Ovis aries: one gene and its partner. The protein of the gene in region 1 purifies or fractionates together with the protein of each later gene. This does not show direct contact. Links are inferred from orthologs where the notes say so. Each region holds a gene or a part of one and is shown on either strand. Other genes may lie near its edges.

What was found.
Region 2: the proteins of E3 SUMO-protein ligase RanBP2 (region 1) and BICD2 purify together in Homo sapiens (affinity purification with western blotting; 3 studies listed by BioGRID and IntAct, with this or other methods). This does not show direct contact. The link is inferred for Ovis aries from reciprocal best matches to the Homo sapiens genes RANBP2 and BICD2.

Annotation. Positions count from the first base shown.
Region 1 is NC_056056.1:62,035,859-62,040,205, reverse strand, and holds the start of E3 SUMO-protein ligase RanBP2, read right to left. Parts: upstream 2,810-4,347; 5' UTR 2,797-2,809; coding exon 2,491-2,796; intron 1-2,490. UniProt on the Homo sapiens protein: E3 SUMO-protein ligase which facilitates SUMO1 and SUMO2 conjugation by UBE2I. Involved in transport factor (Ran-GTP, karyopherin)-mediated protein import via the F-G repeat-containing domain which acts as a docking site for substrates.
Region 2 is NC_056055.1:28,622,672-28,626,477, reverse strand, and holds part of BICD2 (protein bicaudal D homolog 2), read right to left. Parts: intron 2,941-3,806; coding exon 2,728-2,940; intron 1-2,727. UniProt on the Homo sapiens protein: Acts as an adapter protein linking the dynein motor complex to various cargos and converts dynein from a non-processive to a highly processive motor in the presence of dynactin.

The DNA of each region.
Region 1 (4,347 bases):
TTTCCAGGCAGTAATACTGGAGTGGGCTGCCATCTACTCTTCCAGAGGATCTTCCAGACTCAGGGATGGAACCTGCACCTCCTGCATTGGCAGGCAGATTCTTTACCAACTGCACCACTTGCAAAGTCCTAACAAAATCAAAAGCAGGTGTAAAGGACTAGAAAATGGCAAAACAAAAGAAGTCAAGAGATGAGTGGAAGCCTGGGAAGATATATGACTATGGACCCATCACAGCACTTAGTCCAACATTGCCAGTGTCTGCCCAACTGGGTACCAAGTACAGACACCCTAATCTTTTTATACTCTTCACAGCCACTGTCTCTGCTCCCTCTACCATCTCCCTCCCAACCTGGCCAAAGCACCATGTTCACTTACACCCACGATTATAGTATTGTCATGTGTTCCGAAGTTTTTGTTTATTTTGTTTCAGTTGCTAAGTTATGTCCGACTCTTTGGACCCCATGGGCTCTAGCCCACCAGGCTTCTCTGTCCATGGGGTTTCCCAGGAAATACTGGAATGGGTAGTCATTTCCTTCTTCATGGGATCTTCCCAACACAGGGATCAAGCCCAAGTCTCCTGTATTGGCAGGTGGATTCTTTACCACTGACCTACCTGGGAAGCCAGGAAGACCTAATATACTCTTACCAAAGTCTAATTTAAAAGTTTCACAGTTCATTTCTTGAGGTTAATCAGGATCCTGAGGGCAAGGGACCTTCCTACTCTGAACACCCATCCCCGATTCCTGGAGATCCACCCCAGGACCTCCTGAGAAGCAAGCCTTTATCAACTCTGCACCTGAGGCCTCCCTCAGTGTCCTATTTTAGTCTGTGTGCTTAATCTTTCAGTCGTGTCCAACACTTGTGAGCCCAGAGACTGTAGCCTGCCAGGCTCCTCTGTCCATGGGATTCTCCAGGCAAGAATACCCGAGTGGGTTGCCATTTCCTTCTCCAGGGGATCCTCTCGACAAAGGAATCAAACCCCAGTCTCCCGCACTGCAGGCAGATTCTACCAAGTTACAAGGGAAGCCCCATGAATCAACTGAAACCAAATAAAAACTTTGCTATTTTAGCACCAGATTTTAAACAGCTGAATCTGGGGATTCTCTTTACTCTCTGCTTCTCTAGAGGTCCACCTAGGACCTTGTCCTGCAGTGTCTCTCCAGGACACTGACTATCAAAGTTTTCTCCTGATGTTCATTAGCAATCCTTTAGCTTATGCAACAACTGTGACTCCAATCATAGCAGAAGCGCTTCTCCTGCAGGAAGTGGAATCGGTCCCCCATTGGCTGTCCCCTAACCCTCTCCTCCTGCCACCTGAAGCCTTTCTTCCTGGTCTATGTCCTTGAGATCCAGGTATCAGGCTGCTAAATATCAGGTAAAGTCCAACTATAGCTAGTTAAAGGATGTTAACTCCTTGAATTATTATTTTAAACATTTCTATTATGATTAAAGCACCTCTTTTAGGTCTTTATCTGGGACCCAAAGTTATCTACTGCACTTGCTAATCAATATCCCACTGAAGTCCCCAGGTTCAAAAGTCAATGATTTCTCCTTGTCTGAAGAAAAACATCTGATTATAATAACTCTTTATAAATGTAAAAGAGGTGACAATAATAACCAATCCTTAAAGTTTTGTGCCCACTCTTCTTTATTGATGGAAAAGTTCCCTAGTTCAAAGAACATTCTAATTCCTGTCTAGACAGTGGTTTTTAAGGCTTTGGAGAGCCAGGGTGCCCACTAAAAATTTCTTAAAAGCGCTTAACTTGCTTTAGAAGAAAAAAACAAAAAACAAAAAACGGCCACATCAGTTTCAGGGACAGAGAGAATGATTAATGAGCTCCTGTTTTTGACTCTGGTAGGTACATTCGTATTCACAGCTATGCCAGCAGCTGGAAGTTACAACCTGAAGGTTGGCACCTATTCCCCTCCTCCAGAGCCATAGGCTGTAACCCACTCCATACTCCTGAAAAAAAGAAATCACACCCACTGCCAAAATCCTGCTGGGTTACCATGTGCCCCCGGAAAAGTATCTTGAATTCCCCAGGGATACGGATGTCGGGAGCACAAAGTAAAATAATATATGCCTAGTATGTGGTAACCAAGACACTATTACGGTGCCGTTACAATCCTGACTGTTCGCTGGTTTTAATTTCCTCATACATCTTTATTCGCATAGGCTCCGGCCCAGAACACCTGGAATGACTGTCCCTGTAACAGCCACATCTACTGAGAGCTTACCACGTGCCAAGCACTGCCCTAAATGTTTATCATAGCCCATCCTAAAAACTCCTATCGATACCCTAACTCCCAACCTATTAATGAAATAAGCGGCAGTTGTCTCGAATCCCACAGCGCGTGCTTGGCGGAGCTGCGACTCGGCCCTGGGCAGCGAATCCGGGTCCGGGCCCCCTCCGCCCACCCTCTGGCATCAAGGTCCGCGGGATCCCCTGGGCACCCAGCTCCCAAACTACGCCGGAGATGGCAGAGTACCCCGAGAGACGTCGCCGGAAAGCCACAGAGTCTACTCCAAAAACAAGGCCCGGACGGAAACTCAGAACCCCCGGAACTCCGTTGAAAAACAAAATGCCCGGAAAGCAGCTTCCAAAGCGGTGAGTGAGAGGCGGCGGGGCGGCTGCGCCTCGGCGTGGAGCCCAGGACGCCCGAGCGCCGGGAACGAAGAGCAGGAAACGAAAGAGGAAGAAGAGAAACAGAGAGAGCCAACGCCCGCCCGCCGCCTCCCCGTCTCCCGCCCGCCGCCCGCCGCCGGCCGCCCGGCCGCGCCTCAGCGGGGGACATGGCGCCGCCGCCGTGGGCCCGCCCGGAGGCCATGGCCCCGGCCCGCTCACCTCCCGGGGTGACGGGGCAGAGCCCTGCACCGAAGCGATGTATCGCTCCACGTCGGCCTTGCTGCGCCTCATCTTGCCGCCGACTGGGCTCTGGATAACGAACGCCAGCGCCGAGGCCGCAGCGGCCGCCGTCGTCTCGGGAGCGCGCCGCCCGAAGGTCCGTGACGCAGCGCCGTCGCCGGAGAGAGGGCGACGCGCCTGCGTGGGTGCGTGCATGCGTGAGAGCTGCGTCAATCCTGTGCGCCGCGCAGACCCGCGGACGCCGGCGCGCAGAGGTGAACGCGCTTGCGCAGCGCGGGAACGCGAAGCTCGTGGGGTGTGTGACGCGGTTGAAAGTGCTTAAAGATGACACCTGCCGGTAGCAGCTTCGTCCGGAAATATCTCTCCCTCAGGCTCTCGAGCCGGACGCGCTGTTCCCGGTGCTGACGTCACGCCGCGGCGCCAGTCGGCTATATCTAAGCGCTCTTTTGGAATTTGAATTTTTCGGACGTAGTTTTAAGACAAGTTGTAGAAAATGTTTTCAGTAGTGAAAAGATCACATCCTGTGTATACAGGGAGTTCAGGATTTATGGTTATGGATACTTTTTATCCTTTTAAAATAGTTTTATTCAACACTTAGAGCTAATCTGGCCTCTTACAGGCTATCCTTTTTGATTTTTCCATTTTTCCAAATTTTCTACAGTGAGCAATTATTTTCTTTATAAAGAGGGAAACCATCATGGTGTGTTTTGTTTCAGGTTTGTTGGATGTGAATAAGGGTGGCTGGTCTGGGAGGGTACTTGGTCCAGACCCCAGCTAATGTTAACTAATCTAAGGGATGGTGAGGAGCGAGTCCCTCTGCTGGTTTCCTTGGTAAATAATGAGTCAACAGGAGGTCTGCTGCAGCTGCTAAGTCGCTTCACTCCTTTCCGACTCTGTGCGACCCCATAGACAGCAGCTCACCAGGCTCCCCCGTCCCTGGGATTCTCCAGGCAAGAACACTGGAGTGGGTTGCCATTTCCTTATCAAATGCGTGAAAGTGAAGTCGCTCTGTCATGTCCGACTCTTAGCGACCCCATGGACTGTGGCCCACCAGGCTCCTCCATCCATGGGATTTTCCAGGCAAGAGTACTGGAGTGGGGTGCCATTGCCTTCTCTAACAGGAGGTCAAGTCCTCTCTAATTGGTAGTATCCCTTTCCCCAAGGGAGTGAGCCTGCCCCTATGTCCTGCTACACACCTGGGGATGTTGCTCCAAGACCTCGCTTCAGGTGGGTAAGTTCCCCTCGCTTCAGTTCAGTTCAGTCACTCAGTCATGTCCGACTCTTTGTGACCCCATGAATCGCCACACACCAGGCCTCCCTGTCCATCACCATCTACCGCAGTTCACTAAAACTCAAGTCCATCCAGTCGGTGATGCCATCCCGCCATCTCATCCTCTGTCATCCCCTTTTCCTCCTGCCCCCAACCCCTCCCAGCATCAGAGTTTTTTTCCAATGAGTCAACTCTTCGCATGAGGTGGCC
Region 2 (3,806 bases), on another chromosome or scaffold:
CTCCTAGGGGGCTGCTGGATGCCACACCTGAACCAGCTGGATCCAGCTCTGCTCCCTGGGAGGAATTTCCACTTCCTTGTGGAGTCCATTCCCTCGGGACTCATCTGGGCGCCCCCTCCAGCTCCTCCTCAGCTGTGAGGCTCACCCCTGAGTCTACCCCTTACCTTTGCTGCTTTCTCTACACACCCAGGGCCCTTTCTCTTGACTCTGGACTGCCAACGTGACCTTCTCCACTCAATCCCCTGGATCTGGAGCGCAGGGGTCCTTCTGAACAGGCCTGTCCACACTACAATGGAGAGCCCCCCTGGTGCCTGGGGCTGCTGCTCCTGATCTAGCACCCACCACTTCAGCTTGTGTCCAAAAACCTGGCTTCCTTTCAGCCGTTCCTAGGGGCCCAGATGCCACCATAGCAAGAAACAAGTATTTCTGGCTCCTAGCCAGGACAGAGGAGATGACAACAGATACGATTTCTCCTGGCACATCTCTGTCACTCACTCTTAGGCCTGTGAAGGACCTGATACACACAGAGTCCACCAGGAGAGCAAGGCCAGGGTCCACTGGGACGGTAATTTTACCTAAGGGGGTCACCCCCGGGCAGATGACGCCCACCCCCTCAACTCACAGTTCTGCTTCTCAAGGCAGCCTTCACCACCCCTCTCAACCCCTTCCCAAGGCAAATCTGAGGAATGTGCAAAAGACCACTCTGTCATCAGTCAGCTGGGTCTGATCCTTGGGTCTCTCTCTGCTTCTCTATGTGCAAAACGGGCCCTCAGGGCATGTCCCAGGGCAGAAGCTGGCAGGGCCCATTCACACACAGTGCCAAGGTCAGGACCCAGTGACCCTGGGTATACAGTCAAACCTTCCTCACCTTGATCTCCCAACCTGTGAGATGAAGGAAATAACTGGATGCCCACAGGGTCACCCAAAAGACAAGTCACAGGGTAGCTGGAACTGTCCCACATGCTGAGCATGTTTGCCATACGTGTCACATGACGGAGGCCTCAAGTTCCTCTTGGAGAGCTGGGCATGGAATGAACCCCTAAGCCAGACATCACAGGGTGGAAGGACGGGGGTGGGTCAGAGGGCACAGCACAGCTGGCCCATCAGTCACTGAACTGGACAGCAGCAGGACCAGGCACCAGCAGGGAAAGGCCCACGTGCGGAAGAGGCATTTCCTGTGGAGACTGTGCAAAGCCTGCTTGCCCGGATCACACCAAGACAGGCACAGGCTGGTGCTCCTCAGGGGCACCGCTCAGTGCTGGGCTCTCAGACAGGCTGCTCAGCCTCAGCACAGGCCTCCTGGAGGAGCAGGCCTCCTGGAGGAGCGGGCCTCCAGGGCACAGCCACGGAGGAGCTCCGCACCGCAGCTCAGGCAGAAGCAGCAGGACCAGGACGAGCAGAAGAATAACTGAAGAGGGATGGCAGCAGAGCCAGCAATGGTGGGGACACTGACCAGGGCTCCAGTCCGAGTAGGCGGTGACGGAGAGCCTCCACTCCAACCAAGAACCCGGCATGGCTCCAAGTGCCTGCCGGACCATGATCAGGGGCACACAGGCAGGGCCTCAGGAGAAAATGTACTGAGGATGTGTCGGGGTGGGGAGGCGAAGGCTTCCTCCAGAAGCACTAACAGGAACGGCAGGAAACCTGCCCCCACCAGACCTGTTCTTCAACAGCAGCATGTGCGACTGGCTTAGCTCATTTCCTGGCGCCAAAGCCAGCAGTCAGCAGGTCCCCTGCCACTCCTCTGAGGAAGAGGGACGCTGCAGAAGGAGTCTGGGCTGGGGGAGCATCTGCACCGACTCTTTTGGAAAAGGGCTCTTAGCTGGCCGTGAGGCTAGCCTCCCCCTTAGGGGGTCAAATCTACAGCTCTGACAGTCCCTTCTCCCCACCGTAACCAGAGAGCTCCTGTGTGAAGATTTGAGATCATGCACTTCTCCTGGATCCAAGCCAAGTTCCTCCCCATCCCACAAGTCTTGGTGATCTCTGATCCCAAACCAGGATGGATGACCACTTCCCACTGCTGCCAGTTCCTGGGCTCTGTCCCAAACCTTGCCAGTGTCCCTCCCACCCCTGTGGAACCCTTGCCATATACCATCCCATCTGAGATATCGACCTCAGAGCTGACCACCACTCAGAACCATCTGCTGTTCTGGTCAACCCCTCCCCACCCCTATGGAGAACAGAGGCTAACAATGCCCTTCCTGATGAGAACTTGGAAATTCTGACAATAAGGTCCCCTAAAGCCACGGCCAGGACTACAGCTCAGGTAGACCTCTGGCCATGCCTGCTCCCCTGCTGCCGCCCCACCCCATCTTGGGAACACTGGCCCTGCCTCCCACCTCTCTCAGAGGGTACTGGCTGCCCTCCCCCTCCACCTGCCCAGGCCTCTGATGGCCAGGCCCCTGTTAGGGGCCAAACTGATCCTCAAAGCTGTTTGTGGTGGCCTCTCTCTGACTTTAGTGTCCCAAGCTGGCAGGTAGACACTATAATTACACTGCTCACATGAGGAACCCAGGATTCACATCACCCCAAGTGCAGAGATGGGATCCTGCCATTCCCAGACCTTTCTGGACCACCATGGACCACATGAAGTTGGGGTAAAACAATCTGTGGGTGGCCCTGACCCCCCCCCCCCCCCCCCCCACCTCCCCCCGCCAAAGGAAGCACTTATTTGTTTTCCCACCACCCACCTAGAGTCAAGCAAACTGCCCCAGTTTCACTGGTTACCTCCTTCAGCTCCTGAGCCACTGAGGCCAGACGCTCATTCTCTGACTGCGTGTTGGCAAGCACGTTGCGCAGTTGCTTCAGCTCTGTCTGTAGCTCTAGCACCTTGCGTACATAGTACTGCTCCTTGGAAGCTGACTCCTGGATCAGACTCTCCTCTCGGCTCTCGCCATCTGCAGCCACCTTCTTATGGTTCGTGTGGGCCTGTCCAAATGCCTGTAGAGGATGAGATTCTCTTGAGAGAGAGCCTGGAGGTAATCCTGTGGCCAGACATGCAGGGGAAAGTGGGGAGGGGACTTTTCCCACAGGAAAAGCAAGATACCTAAGTGCAACATGAGGGCTGTGAAGTTACAGAAATCTGGGGATGGAGCTAATGAGGAGCCCTGGTGGGGTAGGTTGGTGGGAGTGGCTGGAAGAACTGGGGCAGGGCAAGGATAGGAGGTCCCAGCCATTGTCTCTGCCAGTGTGGCCCCCATCAGCAAACAGACCCCTGTCCTGGGTCCCGGCAGGGAAGCCCCCAGCACTAGGGTGGGTCTGAGGTTCTCTTCCAGATATGGAAACCAAGGTTCAGGGCAGTGCCCTTCCCTTGATTGATCCTGATTCACTCACCTGGAAGACACCTGTACCAAAAGAGGCCTGAGAAGGTGAGAGCCCAAGCCTGGTACAAGTGAAGCTTGTGCCAACTGATCCCCACGTGTGTCCTAGCTGGGAGTCCCTGCCCACCTGCCCAGGACCTGGGCACAGAACTGAAAATACCCGAGGGGAGAGGCCCTACCATCCCCAGACCCAGCAAGGGCTTTGGGCTCTAAGAGCAAAGGATCTTGCAGTGGCTCCAGGAGAAGCCCGCATGAGCAAGTGCAACTAGAACTGGTGCTGGCCTGCCCAAGTCCATGCCCCAGGTCCCGGCCAGCGTGGACACACCATCATGTCCTGTTCATCCAGGTGTCACAGCCCCAAGCGAGCACCTTTGCTTCTCTTTCCCTCCCACCCTGCATCATCATAGTAGCCAGGACTCGACCCACATAGGCCTTTAGTGTGCATCCTCCCCAGGGACCCCCTCCTCACCGGCCACCCCATGCAGA